7 linked regions of the Macaca mulatta genome follow. The protein of the gene in region 4 binds, or shares a complex with, the protein of the main gene of each other region. Links are inferred from orthologs where the notes say so. Each region holds a gene or a part of one and is shown on either strand. Other genes may lie near its edges.

Region 1 (4,178 bases), on a different chromosome or scaffold from region 4:
CCTTTCACGCTTCTCCTTCTTGACAGTTACTTCTTCCTTGGGCCTGGAAAAAAGAATGGATTAAGGGAAACCACTCACTCACTGTGTCTCCAAAAACTGGCCTTACTCTCCCATACCACTTCACTCCAAGACAGCGGAGAGTTTGAGCCAATAATTACACCATGAGAAGCAGAATCCAATCCTAATTCTAGCACTTTTCTCACTTCCTTGATGAGGCAGGATTTTTTCAGTTTGCTTTACTTTACGTTCTTGTCCAAAAATGTAGATTTTTGTTTGCATTGGGACTGAAAGCAGGAAGGCAGAAATGCAAAGGAACTTCAGGGAAAGCGTGATACATCTTTGTTTAAACTATTGGCTCTCAACTCGGGCCATCAAAGAGAATCACTCCATTCTACTGCCAACAAGTTAAATCACAATTTCTAGAGATGGAACCCTAGACACCAGTATTTTTTTTTTTTAAAGCTTAAACATTAGAATCACCTAGGAGCCAGGGTTGAAAATCACTAGTGAAAAGAACTAAAGATATAAATTTAAATTTTGGAGCCACAAACCTACTTATTTCTCCCCAAAGCCCCAAATTCAGAGCAAGTAAATAAGGGGCAAGTATTCAGAAGGACTAGCTACTTACTCTTCCTTGATCTTCCGACTGATGATATTTGGGGTGAAGGTTTTCTGAAAGCAAAATACAGGAGTCACTGATGTGTTAGGTCCTGACCCCAAAGTACAGAGGAAAATAAAAACTCCCAACGGGCATCTTCTACAGACCACGGCCACCATGACTCTCTTTGGCACATTCCACAGTGCTGTCAGTTTTCTAGATACACGTGTGCCTGAAAAGGAGGAACGTCATGGTGTGGCGGCAGTGGAGTTATGCATAGAAGAAAGGGGCACCAAAAACCATTTTTAACCAGCAGCCTTAGGAAAGAAGATCCTGAAAGAAGGTCCTCTGGGACTTCTAAAAGCAAAGGAATTTCTCTGGTCTCACCTCTTATCTTCAAACTGCTATAGAGACCAGTCAGTATCATGGGGGAACATCTCTAGCAGCAAGGCCTAAGTAGGGAAGGCCACAGATCTGCCAATACTCTCAATCACTGTTGGCAGTGTTTTTCCATATTTTCCAAGGCAAAGTTAGGTTTCTAAAGACTGCTTTATGTCCAGGCGTGGTGGCTCACGCCTGTAATCGCAGCACTTTGGGAGGCCAAGGCAGGTGGATCATGAGGTCAGGAGTTCAAGATCAGCCTGGCCAAGATGGTGAAACCCCGTCTCTACTAAAAACTACAAAAATTAGCCAGGTGCGGTGGCAGGCCTCTGTAATCCCAGCTACTCGGGAGGCTGAGGGAGGAGAATCGCTTGAACCCCAGGAGGTGGAGGTTGCAGTGAGCTGAGATGGTGCCTCTGTGCTACAGCCTGGGCGACAGAAAGAGACTCTGTTAAAAACAAAACAAACAAACAAAAAAAACTGCTTTATTTGGCCGGGAGCGGTGGCTCACGCCTGTAATCCCAGCACTTTGGGAGGCCGAGGTGGGTGGATCACAAGGTCAGGGGTTCAAGAACAGCCTGGCCAACATGGTGAAACCTTGTGTCTACTAAAAATACAAAAATCAGCTGGACATGGTGGCGGGCACCTGTAATCCCAGCTACTCAGGAGGCTGAGGCAGGAGAATCACTCAAACCCGGGAGGCAGAGGTTGCAGTGAGCCAAGATCATGCCATTACACTCCAGTTTGGGGGACTAGGGCGAGACTTCGTCTCAAAAAAAAAACCCAAAAACCTGCTTTATTCTTCTGTCATCCTGACCCCACCCCTTTCTGGGCTACTCTTGACATCCACAGTCATATACACATGGGACAGCCCACAGAGCCTCGAATGCCATGCCTAGGATTCATGATACTCTAGATAACAAGTTTGCACACTGAGATGGTGAATTCTGAACGCTCTAAGACTGTGAAGTTTATGCCTGCCTGGCTTTCATGGGTTTCTTAAAGATGTCCAAACACACAATAAGAGTAAATAAACACTGTTCAAATTACTTTTGAACGACTTTAACTTATTAGGATTCTCTGTCTTTCAACCACCTCTGGGACTCATTTCAACATTTTGTACTCAGTACCTAGATTTGAAGATAGGACAGGCTCCCTAGAATTTAAAGAGGGGTAGGCTTGAGGCCCAACGACACTCCTGACACATAGTAGGCCCTACACAAACATCAGTTGAATGCCGGGGCTTGGAATTCAAGGTAGTTGAGTTTCTTTAGAAACGCGCCGTTGGATACCTTCTTGACTCCCCCGAGGGTGAGGTCCCTGGAACGGATGGAGGGAAGGCGGCCGGGGGTGAGGGGAGGCGCCGGCCGCCGCCCGATGAGCCCCCGGGCCCCAGTCAGAAGGGGTCGGGGCCCTCCCGGAGTGCTGGGCTCGCCGGCGGCGTTTCCTTCCGACATGTTGCCTGGGAGAGAAGGGGGGACGAGATTACCAGAGTGGACTGACACGCGGACCCTGGCGGAACCCAACCCCCTTGCTTTCCGGTCCCCCAGTCGGTGCGTCCCTCCAGTGGCCTCTCAGCTCCTCCCCTCCCACGTGGCGAGATTCCCGGGACCACCCAGGTGAGAGCCTTTGGCTCGCGACACGCCCTCTCTCCAGGAACCCCGCCCAGGAACCAGGCAGGGACGCACCCGGGCCGCGGCTCCACACCGCGCGTCACCACTTCACCTGCGACGCGACCCGCTGCCAGCTTTAGGTCTCCGCACCGGGCGGAAGTCTGCGTGGCACCGCCTGGGCGCTGCCATCTTGGCACGGGCCGGATGTGACGTTTCGGGGGCGGGACTGGGCCACAGTATTTATCAGGCGGCGCTTCGCTCCCCTCCGCCTTCTCTTCCCGGTTCTTCCCGGAGTCGGGAAAAGCTGGGTTGAGAGGGCGAAAAAGGATGAGGGAACCGGTCTGGGCTACGCTATGTGGCGGTGCTCGGGGGTCTTGGCCCCCGGGCGGTGGCGTGGAGGTGCCGAGATCAGGGTCGCGGGTCTTGTCGGCCGCCAAGCCGCAATGTGAGGCTTCGCCTCGGCGGAGCCCCTGGGAGCTTGGGGGTAGCTGCTCGGGATGGGACGAGGGGCGCGGCACAGAGAGCGAGACCTGGACTTAGAGTCGGGGAGTCTTGGGCCGTGCGGAGCCCTGTCTGCGGGTTCTCCATGGTGACCTTGGAGTGGTCACTACCTCCGGGCAGCGACCTCGCCCACTCTCGGGGACCCCTTCCCTGTGCTCCTGGTGGAGTCCTGGGGTGAGGCTGTGAGGGCAGCGTTGGAACAGCCGCAGTGGACCAACTGGTGCCCAGTCACACCCGCTTGGGATCACGAAGGCGGTGGCCCTCGGGTGCGCTCTTGGTCAAAGCCTGGACAGAATCGGAATACCAAGTTTGCTCTACTGCTGGAGGAATTTAAAGAACTTTTATTGACTCCAGCGTTTGTGATATAAAAAGTGTCGTTTAATGTTATCTCCCATCCCCCCAGACTGTATAAAAACATTATTACGGGGAGTTTGAGGAAAGGAAATCGTTTCTACCAGAATGCCACGTAGAGTACTACTATTAAAAATTTTGTAATGTGTCTAGTAGTCTTCACAGAGTTGTATCACAATTTCGTATCCTTTTTCTTTTCTTTTTTTGAGGCGAGGTTTCTGCATACTGCAACCTCTGCCTCCCAGCCTCAAGCCATGCTCCCACCTCAGCCTCCCAAGTAGCTGGGACTCTAAATACATGCCACCACGCCCGGCTAATTTTTTTTTTCTTTTTTCTTTTTCTTTTTCTTTTTTTTCTTTTTTTTTTTTTTTTTTTTGTATTTTTGGTAGAGACGGGATTTCACTGTGTTGCTCACACTGGTCTTGAACTCCTGAGCTCGAGTGATGCCACCCGCCTCGGCCTCCCAATGTGCTGGGGTTACAGGCGTCAGCCACTGCGCCTGGCCTGTATCCTGCTTTTTCAAATAACATTTCTCTGTTACGGCATCAAAGACTGCATAGTTCTCCAGTGGCTGTATCATGATTTAAGTATTTCCCTGATTGTTTCTTTTTTCCCTGTTTTAAATAATGCTGTAGTGAATATCTGGTACATTCGACGTGCTTTTTTTCAATTTTGTTTTGGTTTTTGTTTTCTTTCGGATTATATTCCTGGGATAGATTTCCCGTCCTGGGATA
Region 2 (2,979 bases), on a different chromosome or scaffold from region 4:
GTGATTAGTATTTTCATAGCCTGTTCAAATCTAAGTATGTAGTCAATTCTGGGATCACTGTGATTTGGGGTTTGCTTTCTACCACTTAAGCTATTTAAAACACTGAGGGCCGGGCGCGGTGGCTCAAGCCTGTAATCCCAGCACTTTGGGAGGCCGAGACGGGCGGATCACGAGGTCAGGAGATCGAGAGACGATCCCGGCTAACACGGTGAAACCCCGTCTCTACTAAAAAAAAATACAAAAAAATAGCCGGGCGAGGTGGCGGGCGCCTGTAGTCCCAGCTACTCGGGAGGCTGAGGCAGGAGAATGGCGTAAACCTGGGAGGCGGATCTTGCAGTGAGCTGAGATCCAGCCACTGCACTCCAGCCTGGGTGACAGAGCAAGACTCCGTCTCAAAAAAAAAAAAAAAAAAAAAAAAAACACTGAGAACGCAATATTAGAACTTTCAATTGAATGAAATACTCAGAATTGTGATTAAAATAAATAATAAATTACACAAGTTTACAAGTAACAGTTAAATGTTTAGGGTTAAGTTTTGCAAACAGTACAAATGTTTAAGAGTGTTGATTGGGAGTAAGGGAATGTCAACTGCCAATAAATATGGAAGATGAAAGAACAGGACTTTAAACAGAGCATATTTACTTATGGGTCTCTGTCTCCTCCCCACACAGAAAAACTCCCAGACATTCATGACTTCATCCACTCTGACTGGCAGATAGATCACATTTCCTGACCCCCCAGCTCTTCACCTCAAAAGGTTTATCTTTCCACCACACCAGCAAAAACCCTCAGGACACACGATTCATACTGCCAGCTAAGCATCTACGCCAAGGGACAAGGTAAGCACACGCTAAGGCAGCTGGGCCATCCTGGCCCTAATCCCTCCAGCGGTGTCCACACTGAGCATTGCAGCACTTGTAGAAGGTGGTCATCGGCTCATCTGCAGAGCGGGTCTGAAGCTGCATGAAGTAAGCACGAGGATGTTCGCATTTGGGACACGGCTCTGGCAATGAGAAAAAAGAAGTGACCCACATTAAAAGAAACATGATGCTCATGACTGTTAAAAGTAGGTATTACTTAATATGTGCGAGGCGAAAGCGGGCGGATCATCTGAGGTCAGGAGTTCAAGACCATCCTGGCCAACATGGTGAAACCCCGTCTCTACCAAAAATATAAAATTAGCCGGGCACGGTGGCAGGCGCCTTTAATCCCAGCTGCCTGGGACGCTGAGACAGGAGAATCGCTTGAACCTGGAAGGCAGAGATTGCAGCGAGCTGAGATTGTGCCACTGTACTCCAGCCTGGCGACTAAGTGAGACTCCGTATCAAAAAAAAAAAAAAAAAAAAAAGTAGGTATTATTTAATGTCTTTTTTTTTTTTTTTTTTTTTTTGAGATGAAATCTCACACTGTCACCCAGGCTGGAGGGCAATGGGGTGATCTCGGCTCACTGCAACCTCTGCCTTTCGGGTTCATGCAATTCTCCTTGCCTCAGCCTCCCAAGTAGATGGGATTAAAGGTGCCCGTCACCGCACTCGGCTAATTTTTTTGTATTTTTAGTAGAGACGGGTTTTCATTATGTTGGCCAGGCTGGTCTGGAACTCCTGAACTTTTGATCTGCCCACCTCAGCCTCCCAAGGTGCTGGGATTACAGGCGTGAGCCACCGTGCCCAGCCTACTTAATATCTTTAAATATGGTAAAGAACCTCCCTGCTCATTTGATGCCCCTTGACAAGGGTAGGTCTACAAACAGCGATGTCATTCCTACTACACTCTAACACTAAGGGAATCTGAGAGACCTGTGACTCACAAACGCCGCTCCTCCCCTCCCTGATTCCCACGGTTCTTCTCAAGTCCAGCTGAAGGCTGGTTGGAAACATAACATGGAAGGTGACTGCTCTGGTGTATTTTGTGCTGCTGTAACAAAATGCCTAAGACTAAGTCACGGTTAGACAGTAGAAGAGTTTTGAAGTAAATGCTGCGAAAAGTCTGCATTGTTAAGAATTGAGCATTAAGGGCGATTCTGGTGTGGACTCAAAAGAAGAGAAAAGGCTGGGTATGGTGGCTCATGCCTGTAATCCCAGAACTTTGGGAGGCTGAGGTCAGGAGTTCAAGACCAGCCTAGCCAAGATGGTGAAACCCCGTCTCTATCAAAACTACAAAAATTAGCCAGACGCAGTAGCAGGTGCCTGTAATCCCAGCTACTAGGGAGGATGAGCAGGAGAATCGCTTGAACCCAGGCAGCAGAGATTGCGTCACTACACGCCAGCCTGGGTGAAAGAGACTCTGTCTCAAAAAAAAAAAAAAAAGGCCAGGCACGGTGGCTCACGCCTGTAATCCCAGCACTTTGGTAAGCCGAGGCCAGCAGATCACCTGAGGCTGGGAGTTCGTGACCAGACTGACCAACATGGAGAAACCCCGTCTCTACTAAAAATACAAAATTAGCCAGGCGTGGTGCCACATGCCTGTAATCCCAGCTACTTGGGAGGCTGAGGCAGGAGAATCGTTTGAACCTGGGATGTGGAGGTCACGGTGAGCCGAGATCGCGCCACTGCACTCCAGCCTGGGCAACAAGACTGAAACTCAGTCCCAGCCCAAAAAAAAAGAATAAAAAGTAGACTGGGCATAGTGGCTCACACCTGTAATTCCATTAATTTGGGGGCTGAGGCAGGAGGATTGCTTGACCCAAGGAGTTCAAGACCAGCCTGGGCAACATGGCAAGATCTAGTCTCTACAAATAATAATAATAATTTTTTTTTTTTTTTTTTGAGACGGAGTCTTGCTCTGTCGCCCAAGCTGGAGTGCAGTGGCCGGATCTCAGCTCACTGCAGCTCCGCCTTCCGGGTTCCCGCCATTCTCCTGCCTCAGCCTCCCGAGTAGCTGGGACTACAGGCGCCCGCCACCTCGCCCGGCTAGTTTTTTGTATTTTTTAGTAGAGATGGGGTTTCACCGTGTTAGCCAGGATGGTCTCGATCTCCTGAC
Region 3 (3,500 bases), on a different chromosome or scaffold from region 4:
ACATATAAATCCAGTTACTTCATTTCTCTGCTTAAAATCCATCAATGGCTCTCCCTTGTCTTCAGGATAAAGTCCACACCTCTTAGACAAACATGTACACAAATAATAAATAATTCCAGTTATAAATATAAATGCTGTGAAGTATATGAAATGAGAAATGTGGTAGGGACCAGTGTAGGAGAGGACAATGGTGCTTGAAGTCTATGAAAAGAGCATTTAAGACAGAAATGATAAAAACAGAGACCACTACATGAAGATCTGGGGACAAACATTTGAAGCCAGAGGCATGATAAGGGCCAAAGTCTAAAGACTAGAAAGAGTTTGACATGTTTAAGAGATAGAAAGTCAGTAGGGGGAACACAGTGAGCAAGACGGAGATGGGTCAGAGGTGAGGTTGAAAAGCCTGTCTCCAACAGATCATACGAAGACCTAGATCATGTAAGGCTTCCTAGCCCGTATCTTGGATTTCTTCTAAGAGTAAAGGAAAGCTATTAAAGGAGTCTAATCAGTGGATGTATTGTTTTGTTTTGAACTTAGAAAGTCATTTTGGCTACTAAGTAGGTAAGAATGCAGCTAGGGAGACCATTAACGAAAGGGTTAGGAAAGAGTTGATGAGAGACGGCAGTTAAAAGATGAGAAATGGTTGGATTTGAGGTAATTTTGGAAACTGGGCTGGTATGTTTTACTGTGAGATTAGAGGGTTCCAAGGATTTTGGCCTAAGCAGAAATGGTGGTGTCCTAGGTGGCTGGCCTAGGTGGTAGTGTCTTTTACTAAGAGGAGGAATCAATTATTCTGTTTTGGCCACACTAAGTTTGAGATGCTTACTGACATCTTTATAGGCATGCTAAGAAGGCACTGAATATAAGTTCAGGCCTATGTATAGTTTTTAGACCCATTTTTCACCACTGTTTTTAGGTTCTTGCCATATTGAGCAATCTAAACTTTTTCTAGGCCCCTTTTTACATAGCCTGTTATCTCTGTTCAATGAAAGAATTAAGGCTCAGAAGGGAGACAGTAATGGTTCATTCTTTGTGAATGAATAGAATGGTTCATTCTATTTCTAATATTTAATGAGGTTCATAATCCTACTGCTTCTTAGCTCAGGAAGCTTTAAGCTCTCTTGGGGCTTGTTATCTGAGTGCTCTTTCTGGCCTGCTTCAGGGTGAGGACTTCTAATCAAGAAGCCCCATTACCTCCTTGTTATCTGTAGTATGTTTTGGTCTCTTGGCCTTGGGTTCCCCAGCAGCATCTTCATCAGATGATCTGCGCCTTTTACCTTTTCCTGCCAAACAAATAATTGAACACTTAGACTGTATGACTGTATGACAGCAAATGACCAAACATGAGAGCAGGTGTCTTTCATTCCAAAGACATCTATAGGTGCCTCTAGATCAGAGTTGCTTAGGGGGCTGAAGAGCTATAAGAAATTCAAGTAAAGGATGAAATGATCTGAAACTCAACATGTTCAAAAAGAAGCTTATAGTCTTTCTCCTCCAATACTCTCTTTCATGGCCAATGATATCACCATTCTTCCACATGTGCAAGTCAGACACAGAAATGTCATTCTTAATACTTGTCTCCTTCACCCTCTGTTTCATTTTCCACCAGTCTGTCAACTTTTACTTTGCCCCATTCTCCCATCCTTTCTGTAGACAAAAAATCTTTTAAAAGTATAAATTAGATCATGTCATTTCCTAAAAAATCCTTTAGTGGTTTTCCTTTGCTCTTAGCATAAAGAACAAATGCTCTATAAGGTCTTACTTGATTTAGTCCCTGCCTGTTTCCCATCCAAGTACTAAGCAGGTCGATCCTGATTAGCTTCTGATATCAGACCCCTGCCTATCTATGTCTCTAACCTTATCTCATGCCTCTTTGCTTTGCTTACAATGCTTTAGCTATACTGACACTCTCTCATTTCCTCAAATGCTTTTTTTTTTTTGAGATGGAGTCTTGCTCTGTTACCCAGGCTGGAGTGTGACAGAGCTGGAGTGCAATGGCATGATCTCAGATCTTGGCTCACTGCAAGCTCTGCCTCCCGGGTTCATGCCATTCTCCTGCCTCAGCCTCCAGAGTAGCTGGGACTACAGCACCCGCCACCATGCCCGGCTAATTTTTGTATTTTTTTTTTAGAGACAGGGTTTCAACGTGTTAGCCAGGATGGTCTTGATCTCCTGACCTTGTGACCCGCCCGCCCTGGCCTCCCAAAGTGCTCGGATTACAGGCATGAGCCACCGTGCCTGGTCTACAAATGCTGTTTTTTTTTTTTTTTTTTTTTTTTTTTTTTTACTACATACTATTCCCTTTGCCAAAAATGCTTTTCCTGTTACCTCACTGTTAGCTTCCACTTTAAATCTTAGCTCAAATGTCACCTTCTCAAAGAAACATGAGGCCTAAACTCCCAGATGAATCCCGTCCCTCATTATATATTTTCTTCTTTTTTTCTGAGACAGTCTCACTCTGTCGCCCAGGCTGGCGTGCAGTGGCGCAGTCTTGGCTCACTGCAACCTCTGTCTCCTGGGTTCAAGCAATTCTCCTGCCCCAGCCTCCCGAGTAGCTGGGATTACAGGTGTACACCACCATACCTGGCTAATTTTTGTAATTTTAGTAGAGATGGGGTTTCACCATGTTGCCCAGGCTGGTCTGGAACTCCTGGCCTTATGCAATTTGCCTGCCTCAGTCTCCCAAAGTCTCCATTATATATTTTCTTTTTCTTTTTTTTTAGATGGAGTCTCACTCTGTTGCCCAGGCTGCAGTGCAGTGGCCGCATCTCAGCTCACTGCAAGCTCCGCCTCCCGGGTTTATGCCATTCTCCTGCCTCAGCCTCCCAAGTAGCTGGGACTACAGGCGCCTGCCACCTCGCCCAGCTAGATTTTTGTATTTTTTAGTAGAGACGGGGTTTCACCGTGTTACCCAGGATGGTCTGGATCTCCTGACCTCGTGATCCACCCGTCTCGGCCTCCCAAAGTGCTGGGATTACAGGCTTGAGCCACCGCGCCCGGCCTCCATTATATATTTTCATAACACCTCATACTTTACCTTCATGGTACTTATCACGGTTTAATTATATATCGATGTGATTTTCTGATTAATGTATGTGTCATAATACTATGACAGTTCCTTCATAGGAATATTTCCTTCATAGTACTTATCACCGTTTAATGATATATCGATGTGATTTTCTGATTAATGTATGTCTCCTAAAGCCCCATGACAGAGACCATGATTTTTTCATTGTTATCCACCACGATGTTTGACACATAGCAAATGTTCAGACTGATTGGTAAATCAGTCTGATTTACCAAGGTAAATGTTCACCTGATTCATACATTTGATAATCAATCAAGAAGAATCCACAATTAAGGCAAGTCACAGTTCCAGGGGTTAAAATTCCTTACCTATCAAGCTCAGCTTAGGAACCAGGTACATGTCCTTTTCATTAATGACAAGTGTGGGGGCAGGTGGTGGTGGCCCAGGGTCTGAATTCTCAGTGGTAGGTACT
Region 4 (3,500 bases):
ATACTCTGTTCACCGAGCTCTACCCTGGGAAGCTGAGATCTGGGTCCCTATATTAAGCTCCAAAGACAATGTTTTTTTCTGCTTCATCCTTCACATGCTTACCTTTATTTCCTGCATCCTCTATGATTTGATATACTAGTTTTTCTTGGTTATCTGACCCCTTCATTTTACTGCAGGGGAATAAAGTAAAATTAATAAGGTAAAGACTACAGGATAATCTAATAATCTACATCACTACTTAAAATTAACAGACAAGGTCACCACAGTGACATATTTACCAAAAGAAAGGCTTACCTTAAAAAGAATGAGACAGAGCTGTGTGTACCAACATGAAAAGATGTCCAAGATATAGTAAGTGAAAAAAACAAGTTGCAAAACAGAATGGATAGCATGATTCCATTTTTGTTAAAAAAAAAAAAAAAGAAAGATTATATATAAATATATAATCATCTATGTGTATTTATATATAGCTAGAAGAAAGGATATATACTAAATTATTAAGAGCAGCTACCTCTGGGAAATGTAATATATCATAGGAGGTGGGGATGATACACAGGACAGGTTTATGTAATTTTGTATTAGCTTTATTCCCAACACATACATTACTTTTGCAATAATAAAAATTTTCTTAAAATTAAAAAAACTAGTACTTACCCAGCATTCTGAGAGTCCTTTATTCTATATAAAAGGCCTGTATTGCTCCTTAAGAGATCCAACTGACCCTAGTTTTTAAGACAGTAGAAAACAGGAGTCAATTATTTTGGAGATATGTCAAATGACAAATGTTGATACATTATTTAACATTCTTAATTTTTCAAAACCTGCTCTTTAATCTCAAAATTTTTCAAAATATCAATACTAACAATTTCCTGTATGCTAGATCTTGGCTTGGTTATATGACCAATGCATAAAGAATTTTTTTTTTTTTTTTTTTTTGAGGCGGAGTCTTCACTCTGTCGCCCAGGCTGGAGTGCAGTGGCACCATCTCGGCTCACTGCAAGCTCCGCCTCCCGGGTTCGCGCCATTCTCCTGCCTCAGCCTCCCGAGTAGCTGGGACTACAGGCGCCCGCCACCGCGCCCGGCTAATTTTTTGTATTTTAGTAGAGACGGGGTTTCACCGTGTTAGCCAGGATGGTCTCGATCTCCTGACCTCGTGATCCGCCCGCCTCGGCCTCCCAAAGTGCAGGGATTACAGGCGTGAGCCACCGCGCCCGGCCTGCATAAAGAATTTTTAAAAAGCAGCTTGAGAATAAAAATCTATATTCAAAATCAAATAAATCCAAATTACATATATAAAATAAATACAGTAAAAATATAATTTATATAAATAAAAAGTTTAAATAAAGACTAAATAGGCATATTCTGTTGCACAGTGAAAAATAAAATTTATAAAGTTAATGGCTGGGCATGGTGGCTTACACCTGTAATCCCAGCACTTTGGGAGACCGAGGCGGGTGGATCATTTGAGGTCAGGAGTTCGAGATCAGCCTGGCTAACATGGCGAAACCCTGTCTCTACTAAAAATACAAAAATTACCCCGGTGCAGTGGCAAGTGCCTGTAATCCCAGCTACTTGGGAGGCTGAGCTGAGATCGCACCACTACACTCCAGCCTGGGTGACAGAGCAAGACTCCATCTTGGAAAAAAAAAAAACAAACAAAAAAAACAAAAAAAGTTAATAGTGACATTTACTGATGTCAGCCAATGAATAAAAGGACTAGAGTAGTATTGTTTTTTCACAGCAATTCAGAAGTAAAATAAAGTATGTCTGTCATGCTCCTGAATTTCCTTGGGTCCGAACTTAAGAGAACCCAGATAGTTATAGCACTAGGCTCTGGCAGTACTGGAAAGCCATAGTTGAGAGAAAGGCCATTCCCTTGTTTTATTTATTTATTTATTTAGAGACAGAGTCTCACTCTGTCATCCAGGCTGGTGTGCCGTGGCACGATCTTGGCTCACTGCAACCTCTGCCTCCTGGGTTCATGCGATTCTCGTGCCTCAGCCACCCAAGTAGGTAGGATTACAGGTGTATGCCACCATGCCAGGCTGATTTTTGTCTTTTAGTAGAGACAGGGTTATGCCATGTTGGCCAGGCTGGTCTCGAACTCCTGGCCTCAAGTGATCGGCCTGCCTCAGCCTCCCAAAGTGCTGGGATTACTGGCATGAGCCACTGTGCCCGGCCCATTCCCTTGTTTTAAAACAGACATGACTTGGAAATGGATTTACATACTGAATGAACGGTGACCTACTCCCTCTGTTCCCTGACCCCATGAAGTGGCAAAGTAGGACTACAAGGCCCAATCCAGAGGCTCTATTTGGTCATTTATCCAGCTTATGAATATTTACTGAATACTTGTACTGTGCCAGGTGTTATGATAGGTGTTTGGGGGAACAACATGAATTCTAAAAGAGAAACACACAGCTGACTTCAGTACCCATCTGGTTGGCATTAAGATAGAGGTAAGTAAAGCCACCCTGAACTCTCAGGTTGGGTACTCGGAGAACAGGCTGTGGCCCAACCTGGGGGTAGGGGGCAGTTCAGTGACTTCCTAGAGACAATGGCAGAGCCGAGTCTTAAAGAATAAAGAGTTAGTCATCTGTAAAGAGTAAGAAGAACCTTCTAAGCAGGGGGAACAACATGAGTCCCGAGGCGTGAAACAGCATGATGTGGCAGGAAACCAAAAACAGTCTGTTCCTCCTGAAACCTAACTTTTGAGGTACAGTGGTGGAGATGAGGCTGGTGAGCAATGCAGGGACTCAGTGTGGTAAACCCAGGAGTTTGAACTTGAATCTCCAGTATAAACAAATTGTAGGCGGTAGAGTGCCTTGGTCAGACCTGCATTTAAGACGGATCGGGGGCAAGGGGCAGTGGCTCACGACTGTTATCCCAAATCAGGCTGGCTTCTCTGAGACCGATGGAGTCATGGAAGCCAGTTAAGATGCTACTGCAGCTGTCGAGGTAAAAGCCATGAGCCTGAACATAGTTCGGTACCAGGGACAGAAATGGAGGGGGTGTGAAGAGCAAATTTAAGAACTGTTTTTAAGAGCTAAAATCAGAAACACTACATGATTTATTAATTATCACTTCATTTCTTAATATCCTTTGGTAGCTCTACTACTGCCTACATACAACCTATAGCCAATAGGACTCGCAGTGGGTGGGTGGTGGCAGAGGTGGTAAAACAGAGGTGCTGAAGATGATTTTCAGTCAGAAGGAAAGAGCTGAAAGGGCGATCAGAGGAAAAAAGGAATTTTTCCACTGCTACAACCTCCCAGAATCCCTTCCTCTATGCTTCCTAGAGCTGAAGACCTTCGCCACAGTGAAATAACTAGAAATCAGCAACATTCCTTTGTCCTTGGGCTAGAACAGGGGTCAGCAATCTGCTCCACAGCTTGTTTTTATAACTAAAGTTTTGCTGGAACATGGCTGTAGCCATTTGTTTATGTATCATCATCCATGGCTGCTGCTTGCTAAAATGACAGAGTAGTTGTGAAAGAAAT
Region 5 (4,247 bases), on a different chromosome or scaffold from region 4:
GTAATCCCAGCTACTCAGGAGGCTGAGGCAGGGAATTGCTTGAACCCGGGAGGCAGAGGTTGCAATGAGCCAAGATGGCGACACTGCACTCCAGCCTGGGCAACAGAGTGAGACTCATCTCAAAAAAAAAAAAAATAAAAAGAAAATTAGGCCGGGCGCGGTGGCTCAAGCCTGTAATCCCAGCACTTTGGGAGGCCAAGACGGGTGGATCACGAGGTCAGGAGATGGAGACCATCCTGGCTAACACGGTGAAACCCCGTCTCTACTAAAAAATACAAAGAACTAGCCGGGCGAGGTGGCAGGCGCCTGTAGTCCCAGCTACTCGGGAGGCTGAGGCAGGAGAATGGCGTAAACCTGGGAGGTGGAGCTTGCAGTGAGCTGAGATCCGGCCACTGCACTCCAGCCTGGGTGACAGAGCGAGAGTCCGTCTCAAAAAGAAAAAAAAAAAAATTAACCAGGTGTAGTGGAGCGCACCTGTGGCCCCAGCTATTCTGGCAGGCTGAGATGGGAGGATTGCTTGAGCCCAGGAGTTCAAGGCTGCAGTGAGCTCTGACTGCACCAGTGCATTCCAGCCTGGGCAACAGAGGAAGACCCTGTCTCTTAAAAAAAAGAATAAACTACAATGTTTCTGGCAGCCCAGATGCCACCAGCCTCACTACTCTCTGAGGGGTGGGATTTTAACATGCAAAGGCCCACTAACCCGATCACATCTTGCAACTTGAGCTGATTAATACTTTGTTAAAACCTGGACCACGAAAACAGAGATAGGCCGGCGAGGTGGCTCACGCCTGTAATCCCAACACTTTGGGAGGCCGAGGCGGGTGGATCACGAGGTCAGGAGTTCAAGACTAGTCTGGCCAAGATGGTGAAACCCCGTCTCTACTAAAAAATATAAAAATTAGCTAGGTATTATGGCGGGCGCCAGTAATCCCAGCAACTCGGGAGGCTGAGGCAGGGAATTGCTTGAACACCGGAGGTAGAGGTTACAGTGAGCCGAGATCGCGCCACTGCACTCCAGCCTGAGCGACAGAGCGAGACTCTGTCTCAAAAAAGAAACGACAGAGCGAGACTCTGTTTCAAAAAAGAAAAAAAGAGGCTGGGCGCGGTGGCTCACAACTGTAATCCCAGCACTTTGGGAGGCCAAGGCGGGCGGATCACGAGGTCAGGAAATCGAGACCATCCTGGCTAACACGGTGAAACACTGTCTCTACTAAAAATACAAAAAATTAGCCGGGCTTGGTGGCAAGCGCCTATAGTCCCAGCTACTTGGGAGGCTGAGGCAGGAGGAGAATCGCTTGAACCCAGGAGGCGAAGGTTCCAATGAGTCGAGATCGCGCCACTGCACTCCAGCCTGGGCGACAGAGCGAGACTCCGTCTCAAAAAAAAAAAAAGAAAAAAGAAAAAAAGAAAAGAAAAGAAAACACGAGATAATCCTGTCCGCAAACGCATAGCAGTCTTACGTAGGCCTGGTGAAAGGATGCAGGAACACTCCCCCACCCGCGCCCCGGAGAAAGGCGAACGCGCAGCGCGAGGTTCCGGGTCCGCCAGGCTCCCGGCATGCAGCGCTGCAATCCCGGCGAGCACCTTGGCGCGCGGAGCTGGCACCTTGGCGCGGTCGGCGGCGGCGGGGACAGCTGTGACGTGTGAGGTTCTTGGTCTGCTGGCAGCTAGGGGCGACGAGGCGGGACGTCATGGAAGTGTAAGTCTCCCCGGGCGCGTCCCTTTTCGGCCGAGGAGCCCATCGGTTTGACCGCTGAGAGCCGAGATCCTTGGGAACTTGGCGACCCTCGTACGGAAGTGAGGGCAGCGGGCCGGCCCTGTCCGGGAGGGCCGCGGGGTGGGGACGGGGACGAACGGGACTCTCGCTTTGCCCCTCCGAACCTTCGCTTCCCCTCCACACCCTGTGTCTGGGGTGCGCGGCCGAACACCTCCGGGTCTGGTTGCCTTTCAGTGTGCGCCCTCCTTCTCTCATTCATTTACCAGCGTTTTTGGGTCACAGTGCGGGGGTGGAGCCCAGCCTGGTATCCGAGCCAGGACTTAGAAGGCTATAAAGGCCTGAGTCTGTTCGCCCTGAAAGTACCTGGAGAAAAGATGAATCAGGGCCGGGTAGAGCTCTGCTTGCAGCACTGGGCCCCTGGGGAGCTCTCACTCGGAAGAGCTGCTCTCAGAGTTTGATGGGAGCAGTCAACGCTGTGAGGGAAGGGGCTAGTTTTTGTGGGGAGAAGGGAAGGATGTGAGCCAGGACTGGGACCGGAGAAACAGCACGGGGTGTGTGGGTGTGTACAGGCGAGGGTAAAAGATTTTCTGACAATTTAACTCCACGTGGTCTTTTCCATGCTTGCTCGTTGCACGTCGTGCAAATGGAAGTTTTTGCATCTACTCCGAATGTGGGCTTTATATGGTTGATATTAACTTGTAGGTATTTACCTATCTTGTGTTCTCTGTGCACTGATTATTTGATTCAGTTTCCTTTATGTTCTTTTGCCTCGTGTTTAATGGTTATATGTACGATGGCATTTCAGATTTTTACATTCTTAATTGTTTTTTCTTAAGAAACAGGGTCTTGCTGTGTCCCCCAGGCGGGAGTGCAATGGTGTAATCATGGTTCACTGCAGCCTCACCTTCCGGACTCAAGCAATCCTGCTTCAGCCCCTCCAGTAGCTGGGACTACAGGCCCACACCATCACTCATGGCTAATTTTTTAAAAAAGTTTTGTAGATACAGGATCTCACTACAGCCCAGGCTGGTCTCCAGCTCCTAAGCTCAAGTGATCCTCCTGCCTTGTACTCCCAAAATGCTGGGATTGCAGGCGTGAGCCACCTCACCTGGTCCCTTCCCATTTTTTTTTTTTTTTAACTTAACACAATATGTCTGTGTAACTGAAATGAAAGGATCATGAAACAATAATGTATGGAGTACACTCTCATATTGTCTATTTTTTAAGATGAAGGGGGCCAAGCATGGTGGCTCATGTCAGTAATCCCAGCACTTTGGGAAGCTTAGGCAGGAGGATCACTTGAGCCTGGGAGGTGGAGACCAGCCTGGGCAACATAGGGAGACCCTGTCTCTACAAAAAATTAAAAAGCTAGTTGGGTGTGGTAGTGCATGCCTGTAGTCTCAGCTACTTACAAGGCAGAGATGGGAGGACCGCTTGAGACCAGGAGGCTGCAGTGAGCTCAGATGGAGCCACTGCACTCCTGACAGAGTGACAGAGCAAGGCTCTGTCTAAAACAATACAAAACAGAACAAAAAAGGTTGACCCACTGAATTAATTTTGCAACCCACGGATCGGATTTCATCTGCAACCTGAAAAACTATTCATATAATTTACTCTAGTCCAAGCCATCATTACTAATTTTTCCCTCTTTACTGGAGCATTTCCTGTGAGCATACAACCCTGCTTTAATGTATTCATCTTAGAAAATCCCCTGTCCCCACATACATGTCCACCTCTTACTCCATTTCTGCTTCCCATCCCAACAAAACTTCTTGAAAGTGCTGATTAGCCCCTCTTTCTCTCAACCATTCTGTTGGGCTTTCTTCCTCACTGGTCTACAGAAATGAATGTTAAGATTACCTGATCCAGGGGGCGCGGTGGCTCACACCTGTAATCCCAGCACTTTAAGAGGCCAAGATGGGCGAATCGCCTGAGGTCAGGAGTTTGAGACCAACCTGGCCAACATGGCAAAACCTTGTCTCTACTAAAAATTAAAAAATTAGCCAGGTGTGGTTTTGGGTGCCTGTAATCCCAGCTACTCAGGAGGCTGAGACAGGAGAATCACTTGAATTCAGGAGGCAGAGGTTACAGTGAACCAGATTGTGCCACTGCGCTCCAGCCTGGGCGACAGAGCAAGACTACATCTCCAAAACAACAACAACAACAACAAAAAAAAAAACCCCTGATCCCTCCATCCCTCCGTCTTTTCAAATCCAGAGGTTGATTTTCTGGCCTCAACTTTTTTGATCTCTCAGCAGTGGTTAATACAGAAACTCTAGAAACTTTCCTTTCTTCATGTTACATGTTCCTTTGTGATATTTCCTCCTACATCAAGGATTACTTCACAGTGTCCTTCCCTGGGTCCCATTCCTCCCTTGCTGGATGTCTAAGTGTTGAGGTATCTTAGGTCTCAGTCCTGGGACCCTTTCTCTCCACGCTCTGTCATTTAACCCATCTGTGTGCTGATGGTTCCCAAAGGTGTGTTTCTAGCCTCTTCTCATCATCTATCCAATTGCATAGACCAAAAATC
Region 6 (3,500 bases), on a different chromosome or scaffold from region 4:
AGTGGTAGAAAGAGTCAGAGAGACATCAGAACGGAGAGATCAGGAAGAGCCTTTTACCCAGTAGTAAGGAATTTTAATTTCATTCCAAGCATAAAGAAATACTATGTACTAACATCCCCAGTGTTTAGAAGTAATCTCACACATGGAAAAGAGCTTGTTTTAAAAATCACTGTAAAGTGACATTATGCCAATACCTGAGATATTTGTCTTTGTTTTTATGCTGCGCTGAATATCAAAAAGGTAAAATATCAACAGCAAAAAGCGGAGACCCCTTGTGTGTGAGATATCTAGATCCCTGGATACATTCTAAACTAAACATAAAGTGAAAACATTACATATTATGCAAATTTAGCTTGCAGCATACTCACTAAATTTTAAAACAACACTAAAATAAGCAAAAAAAGTTCAGTGGGGGACAAAGTCAAGTGGCATACTAAGGAGCAAACTTAAGTTCTATAGATACAAGACGAGAAGAAAAGTGAAGGTGCGGTAGGGTGGGAACTTAGAACCATTATAAAACCTAATGACTTTTAAAACTACTATTTTCATACTGGAATTTATCAGTAACACCAACAGGAGTTGTAAGAATTGAAAACTAATTCTTTACTGGTTCACATAGTACTAAATATATTAATAGAAAGATGTATACAGTTTTGTTTTCTTTATTTTAAGAAAGCAGATCATGAAAATATTTAAAGGTAAGTGAAACACACTCTCCTTTACTTTCTTATACTTGAGGATACTATAATCATATATCAAGTCCTATATAGAATTTAATATTCTCTAAAAAATGAAAAAACACACTATGAGAATTCAACAGTTCATATACTTACAGGAAATAGTGGGGGTGGTTTCAACACTACATCAGGTAACTTTTCGCCTTTGCTAAATCCAACAGCCTCAATATTAAAGGTATAAGCAGCACGTCCTCTTCCTTTATTCCCAGCCATCAGAAATAGTTATACCAGATGAGTAGCCAAATTCTGAAAGGCACTATTAATGATTAAGATTTACTGGATCACACATAAAAAAGAAATCAACACTTTAAAGCAAAATATAAAACTGCATCCCTTAAGTAGCATAGTTGATTTAAAATACTTTTGGAAAGCAAAACATGGAGAAATAAACATTTGACAAGTAACTGTTGAATTTCTCACACACACACATCTTTGGCAGGTAAGATAATGATGGCTTCAACTCCCTCACCCACTACTACTGTCCCACATCCAGACTGATGAGGAGAAGAAATCTTTCTTTTTCATATCAACATAAAAACATAAAAAAAAAAAAATCTTTCTTTTTCACATCATCATTAGTCATATATACTTTAAGACTTTAAATGATTTATCTTAGCATGTGAGTGTTAGGAAGAATCCCTGAGATCTAGTCTAATGTCTCCCTTTTAGAAATGGGAATGGTCGTTTGATGAGACTCGAAAGAAGCCTGTCCAAGAAAAAAAAATTCAGAGGAAAACAGCTGAAATCATTAAAGTTACGATAAACCTGTACTCTTCAATTTTGGGGACAGGAGTGACATCATACATGCAAGTTGTAATGAACTTTTGAATCCTCTGATTATACTATGAGAACTGAGCTGGCAATGTAAAAACAGGGTTCCCTACGCTAGAGTTCTTCCAATAGAAGTCTGCATTCAACTGTAGTGATGATTATAATGCACACTCTTTACATCTCTTTTCCCGCTGATAATACTGAGCCTCATTTAAGCCTGTGAACCCAAGACAGAAACTATATGTCCTCCAGTCCACCTGGAGGAAGTCAGAGGAGTGGCTTTGGTTTTGGCTCCATCAGCTCAGTCTCATTTCTGAATCCACTCACTCTCACTTGCCCTCCTTACAAAATTATGCAAGTCACAGTACTTCACACAGCTGCTCTACTCTTCACCAGGGTTTCTTGCCTCGTCATTAATGTCACCCCTCTTAGTCTGCCACATTAATGGTGAAGGAACACCACCTAAAACCAACAAGGTGCTACTTCTTTATATCAATTTTACTGTCTACAATTTGAATATACGCAGTTCTTTGGACCAAAAGGCTGAAAACTCCCAGCTCACTTTATCACAGGGCCAACACTACAAAGCAAGCGCCTCTCAGTTCTCAACCCTGGCTGCCATTAGAATCACTTGGGTAGCTTAAAAACCTAGAGCAATGGTTCTCAAAGAGTGCTGTCTGCAGCAGCATCACTCAGAACTTGGTAGAAATGCAAACTGTGAGTTCCACCACAGACCTAAAGAAAAAAGAAACTGTGGGTGAGCCCAGTACTGGTGTTTTAAGAAGCCTTCCAGATAATTCTTATGTATGCTAAGTTCTGAGAATCACTGAACTGAACCAATCAATCCAGATCTCTTGGGGTGAGGATTGAGCAAGAGTCAGTTTTAGAAGCTTCCCAGGTGATTCTAACAGCAAATGTTAAGAGTATTGAGAGAACCGTTCTGGTGGAAGTCTTAGCAACTAAGTAGTAGTTGAGTTAAAATACACATGTAGAATCAAGGACTTCATAGGTCTCATCTTTGAGGTTTAAAATTATACAAACTAGCCTTAGCAACTTAAAAATATTTGCCTTAAAGGTGAGATAACTGTAACTGCTGTAAATCTACGTAACACTCAGGATGTGGCAGTCCAAGTTTTAATTCATTTACAAGGAATAGCAGTAACAAGGCACTGCACTTTTAGACAGCCAATTTAATTTTTAAAATTATTTATTTATTTATTTTTTTCAGATGAAGTCTTGCTCCGTCACCCAGGTGGCACAATTGTGGCTCACTGTAACCTCCCTCCCTTGCTTAAGTGATTCTCCTGTCTCAGCCTCCTAAGTAGCTGGGATTATAGGACTTATTTTTGAATTTTTTTAGGAGAGACGGGGTTTCACCATGTTGGCCAGCTTGGTCTCAAACTCCTGACCTCAAGTGATCCGCCTGCCTCAGCCTTCCAAAGTGCTAGGATTATAGGCATGAGCCACGGCGCCCAGCCAATGACACACTGCCAATGATGGCCAATTTTAATGTCCTTCTACATTTAAGGCCCCAGAAGCAAATCATATATTCAACATCTTTTTGTAATGAAACATTGTTTCCTGTTTTCTGTGAATTACCCAAGTAGAATATATGGCATTTGATTTGACATAATGGCTATGATACTGAGAACATTTTCAGATATGATTTTGTAACTGCCCAAGGGGTTCACCATGCCTGTTGTCTGGACAGAGCTGATTTATCAAGACAGGGGAATTGCAATATAGAAAGAGTAATTCACACAGAGCTGGCTGTGCAGGAGACCAGAGTTTTATTACTCCTTAAATCAGTCTCCCCGAAAACTTGGAGATTTTTTTGAGATGGAGTGTCACTCTTGTTGCCCAGGGTGGAGTGTAATGGTGCGGTCTCAGCTCACTGCAACCTCCACCTCCCAGGTTCAAGCAATTCTCCTGCCTCAGCCTCCCGAGTAGTTGAGATTACAGGCATGCACCACCATGCCTATCTAATTTTAT
Region 7 (3,500 bases), on a different chromosome or scaffold from region 4:
GCAGATCGCGCTGAACGTGGACGGGGCCTGCGCCGACGAGACCAGCACGTATTCCTCGTGAGTTCCCGGCCCCAAGCCTGTCCGGTTTCCCTGTGTTCACACAGGAGCCTCCCAAAGACCTTAAAGACACTGACCCCCTTTGCCCCGTCACTGGGCTCCCCACCAGCGTCCCAGCCTTTGGAGGGCTGGTCCTGTCTCAGACCCGACTCTCCCTGAGCTAACTGGTCCCAGAGCTCCCGCCCACTCCTCGTCTCTTGGTCTACAAACAAGGCCATGGATTTTCTCATCCCCAGGCTCCGCTCCTGAGACCCGCGTAGGCTACCCTGCGGCCTTGGTCCCTGACTGTGGCACTTCAGAAGGTGTCTGGGGGGTGGAGTGCGCTGTGGCCACAGGCCCTGGCTCAGAGCTGCCTTCCCCTGTGATGTTGCTTCTCCCTGTGCTCCAGGAAGCTGATGGACAAACAGACCTTCTGCTCTTCCCAGACCACCAGTAACACATCCCGTTATGCCGCTGCACTCTACAGGCAAGGTACCCAGGGCTGGGCGTCCCATGGTGGGGACGTGGCGTTGTGGGGGCTGGGCAGGGAGAGAACCTCCCCAGCCTGGTGTCCATCTCCCACCTGCCCTGAAAGCTAGACACCTGCAGGAGCCGGGCAGGTGTGGAAACAACAGAAATGACACATTGTCAGGGGATTGGAAGTGGCCACCTTTGGGGCCTGCTGGTTGGACACTGCCTGACTAGATGGGGTGGGGCTCCAAGTTCATTTGTCCTCCCGGGACACAGATACATACAAGTAGCATAATATAAGTTTGGGGACAGAATTTTGTCTTTAAATACAAAGCTTATGACAGAGCAATTCCATTCCTAGGCAGCATCTATCCAAAAGAAATGAAAACATGTGTCCACACAAAACCACACACAGGTGTTCACAGTAGCATCTTCATGATAGCCAAAATGTGAAACAACCCAGATGCCCATCCGCTGGATTCATGGAGAAACAGAATGTGGTCCATTCACACAATGGATGTTATTTGACCACGGAAAAGAATGAAGCACCGATGCTACCACGCAGATGAACCTTGAGAACATGGTGCTAAGTGAAAGAAGCCACGGGCTTCCTCACTCGCAGCTACGCGCTGTGTGCTTATGTCTCAGTCAGCGACCAAGCACATACTCAACGGTGGTCCCAAAAGGTTATAATGGAGCTGAAGAAGTGGCTCACCTAGTGATATCTTAACGAGCCTGACCTTGTGTAGGCCTAGGCTAACTCGTATGTTTGTGTCTTAGTTTTTTGTTTGTTTCTTTTGCTTTGAGACAGTGTCTCGCTCTGTCGCCCAGGCTGGAGTGCAGTGGCACAATCTCAGCTCACTGCAACCTCCGCCTCCTGGGTTCAAGTGATTCTCCTGCCTCAGCCTCCCAAATAGCTGGGATTACAGGCACGCACCACCACACCTGGCTAATTTTTGTATTTTTAGTAGAGACGGGATTCTGCCACGTTGGCAAGGCTGATCTCAAACTCCTGACCTCAGGTGATCCACCCACTTCGGCCTCCCAAAGTGCTGGGATTACAGGTGTGAGCCACCACGCCCAGCCTGTGTCTTAGTTTTTAGTAGAAAGTGTAAAAAGTTTAAAAAAACCCAAAAAAACAAAAACAAGGTAAAAGCATATAGCTGGGCGTGGTGCCTCTTTCCTGTAATCCCAGCGCTTTGGGAGGCTGAGGCAGGCAGACTGCTTGAGCCCAGGAGTTCCCGACCAGCCTGGGCAACATAGTAAAATCCCTTCTCTACAAAAAATACAAGCATTAGCTGGGCATGGTGGCACACCCCTTAGTCCTAGCTACTGAGGAAGCTGAGGTGGGAGGATTGCTTGACCCTGGGAGGCGGAGGTTGCAGTAAGCTGAGATTCCACCACTGCACTCCAGCCTGGGCAATAGAGCAAGACTCTGTCTTGAAAAAAGCATATATAATAAAGATATATTGGCCGGGCGCGGTGGCTCACGCCTGTAATCCCAGCACTTTGGGAGGCCGAGACGGGCGGATCACGAGGTCAGGAGATCGAGACCATCCTGGCTGACACGGTGATACCCCGTCTCTACTAAAAAATACAAAAAACTAGCCGGGCGAGGTGGCGGGCGCCTGTAGTCCCAGCTACTCGGGAGGCTGAGGCAGGAGAATGGCGTGAACCCAGGAGGCGGAGCTTGCAGTGAGCTGAGATCCGGCCACTGCACTCCAGCCTGGGCAGCAGAGCGGGGCTCTGTCTCAAAAAAAAAAAAAAAGATATATTTTTCATAAATTTATTTATGTATTTTTTTTTAGAGGGAGTCTCACTCTGTTGCCCAGGTTGGAATGCAGTGGCTCAATCTTGGCTCACTGAAACCTCTGCCTGCCGGTTTCAAGCAATTCTCCTGTGTCAGACTCCCGAGTAGCTGGAACTACAGGTGCAGGCCACCACTCCCAGCTAATTTTGTATTTTTAGTAGAGACAGGGTTTTTGCCATGTTGGCCAGGCTGGTCTCGAACTCCTGACCTCACGTGATCCACCCACCTCGGCCTCCCAAAGTGCTGGGATTATAGGCATGAGCCACTGTGCCCAGCCTATTTTTTTTATAAGTTTAGTGTAGCCTAAGTGTGCAGTCTTTATGAAGTCTACAGTAGCGTGTAGTAATGTCATAGGCATTCACATTCACTCGCCACTCACTCTCACCCAGAGCAGCCTCAGTCCTATAAGCTGTTTTTAGTCTTTTATACTATACTTTTACTGTACCTTTTTTATGTTTAGGGATTTTTGGGTCTTTTTCTTTGTGTGGTTTTTGTTTGTTTGTTTGTTTGTTTGAATTTTTTAATTTTTCTGGAGACCGGGTCTCACTCTGTCACCCAGGCTGGAGTACAGTGGTGATCATAGCTCACTGCAGCCTCTATCTCCTGGGCTCAAGCAATCGCCTTCCCTCAGTCTCCTGAGTAGCTAGGACAACAGGCCGTGCCACCACATCTGGCTAATTTTTTTAAAAGAATTTTGTTGAGATGGGGTCTGGCTATATTGCCCAGGCTGGTCTCAAACTCCTGGGCTCAAGTGATCCTCCAGCCTCTACCTCCCAAAGTGCTGGGATTACAGATATGAGCCACTGCACCCAGCCTAGATATATTTAGATCACAAATACCATTCTGTTACAACTGCCTACAGTATTCAGGGGAGTAGCATGCTGTACAGTGTGTAACCTGGGAGCAACAGGCCATACCATAGAGCCAAGGCATGTAGTCTCTGCTGTCTGGGTTTGTATAAGTGCACTCTGCGATGTTTGCACAATGATGAAATCATCTAACAATGAATTTTTTAGAACATATCCCCATTGTTAAGTGATGTTTGGCTGTACGTGAAATGTCCAAAACAGGCAAATCCACAGAGGCAGAAAGTAGATTAGTGGCTACCAGGGACTAGTGGGAGAGTGGAGTGGGGATTGCCCGGTTCTTTTTGTGGTGATGAGAATGTTCTAAAATTGATTGT

What was found.
Region 1: POLR3F (region 4) and POLR3D share a complex: the UniProt entries of both Homo sapiens proteins name them as parts of the RNA polymerase III complex. The link is inferred for Macaca mulatta from reciprocal best matches to the Homo sapiens genes POLR3F and POLR3D.
Region 2: POLR3F (region 4) and POLR3K share a complex: the UniProt entries of both Homo sapiens proteins name them as parts of the RNA polymerase III complex. The link is inferred for Macaca mulatta from reciprocal best matches to the Homo sapiens genes POLR3F and POLR3K.
Region 3: POLR3F (region 4) and POLR3C share a complex: the UniProt entries of both Homo sapiens proteins name them as parts of the RNA polymerase III complex. The link is inferred for Macaca mulatta from reciprocal best matches to the Homo sapiens genes POLR3F and POLR3C.
Region 5: POLR3F (region 4) and CRCP share a complex: the UniProt entries of both Homo sapiens proteins name them as parts of the RNA polymerase III complex. The link is inferred for Macaca mulatta from reciprocal best matches to the Homo sapiens genes POLR3F and CRCP.
Region 6: POLR3F (region 4) and POLR3G share a complex: the UniProt entries of both Homo sapiens proteins name them as parts of the RNA polymerase III complex. The link is inferred for Macaca mulatta from reciprocal best matches to the Homo sapiens genes POLR3F and POLR3G.
Region 7: POLR3F (region 4) and POLR3E share a complex: the UniProt entries of both Homo sapiens proteins name them as parts of the RNA polymerase III complex. The link is inferred for Macaca mulatta from reciprocal best matches to the Homo sapiens genes POLR3F and POLR3E.

The regions. Positions count from the first base shown.
Region 1 is NC_133413.1:23,888,829-23,893,006, reverse strand, and holds the start of POLR3D (DNA-directed RNA polymerase III subunit RPC4), read right to left. Parts: upstream 2,801-4,178; 5' UTR 2,668-2,800; intron 2,442-2,667; 5' UTR 2,437-2,441; coding exon 2,272-2,436; intron 673-2,271; coding exon 629-672; intron 44-628; coding exon 1-43. UniProt on the Homo sapiens protein: DNA-dependent RNA polymerase catalyzes the transcription of DNA into RNA using the four ribonucleoside triphosphates as substrates.
Region 2 is NC_133425.1:1,237,419-1,240,397, forward strand, and holds the end of POLR3K (DNA-directed RNA polymerase III subunit RPC10), read right to left. Parts: intron 1,004-2,979; coding exon 876-1,003; 3' UTR 501-875; downstream 1-500. UniProt on the Homo sapiens protein: Core component of RNA polymerase III (Pol III) which synthesizes small non-coding RNAs using the four ribonucleoside triphosphates as substrates. Can mediate Pol I proofreading of the nascent RNA transcript.
Region 3 is NC_133406.1:119,468,309-119,471,808, forward strand, and holds part of POLR3C (DNA-directed RNA polymerase III subunit RPC3), read right to left. Parts: coding exon 3,397-3,500; intron 1,284-3,396; coding exon 1,195-1,283; intron 1-1,194. UniProt on the Homo sapiens protein: DNA-dependent RNA polymerase catalyzes the transcription of DNA into RNA using the four ribonucleoside triphosphates as substrates.
Region 4 is NC_133415.1:65,528,537-65,532,036, forward strand, and holds part of POLR3F (DNA-directed RNA polymerase III subunit RPC6), read right to left. Parts: intron 723-3,500; coding exon 655-722; intron 171-654; coding exon 103-170; intron 1-102. UniProt on the Homo sapiens protein: DNA-dependent RNA polymerase catalyzes the transcription of DNA into RNA using the four ribonucleoside triphosphates as substrates.
Region 5 is NC_133408.1:58,913,386-58,917,632, reverse strand, and holds the start of CRCP (DNA-directed RNA polymerase III subunit RPC9), read left to right. Parts: upstream 1-1,447; 5' UTR 1,448-1,477; coding exon 1,478-1,699; intron 1,700-4,247. UniProt on the Homo sapiens protein: DNA-dependent RNA polymerase catalyzes the transcription of DNA into RNA using the four ribonucleoside triphosphates as substrates.
Region 6 is NC_133411.1:96,874,252-96,877,751, reverse strand, and holds part of POLR3G (DNA-directed RNA polymerase III subunit RPC7), read right to left. Parts: intron 994-3,500; exon of another isoform or gene 984-993; 5' UTR 951-983; coding exon 834-950; intron 1-833. UniProt on the Homo sapiens protein: DNA-dependent RNA polymerase catalyzes the transcription of DNA into RNA using the four ribonucleoside triphosphates as substrates.
Region 7 is NC_133425.1:21,775,034-21,778,533, forward strand, and holds part of POLR3E (DNA-directed RNA polymerase III subunit RPC5), read left to right. Parts: coding exon 1-57; intron 58-445; coding exon 446-528; intron 529-2,543; exon of another isoform or gene 2,544-2,934; intron 2,935-3,500. UniProt on the Homo sapiens protein: DNA-dependent RNA polymerase catalyzes the transcription of DNA into RNA using the four ribonucleoside triphosphates as substrates.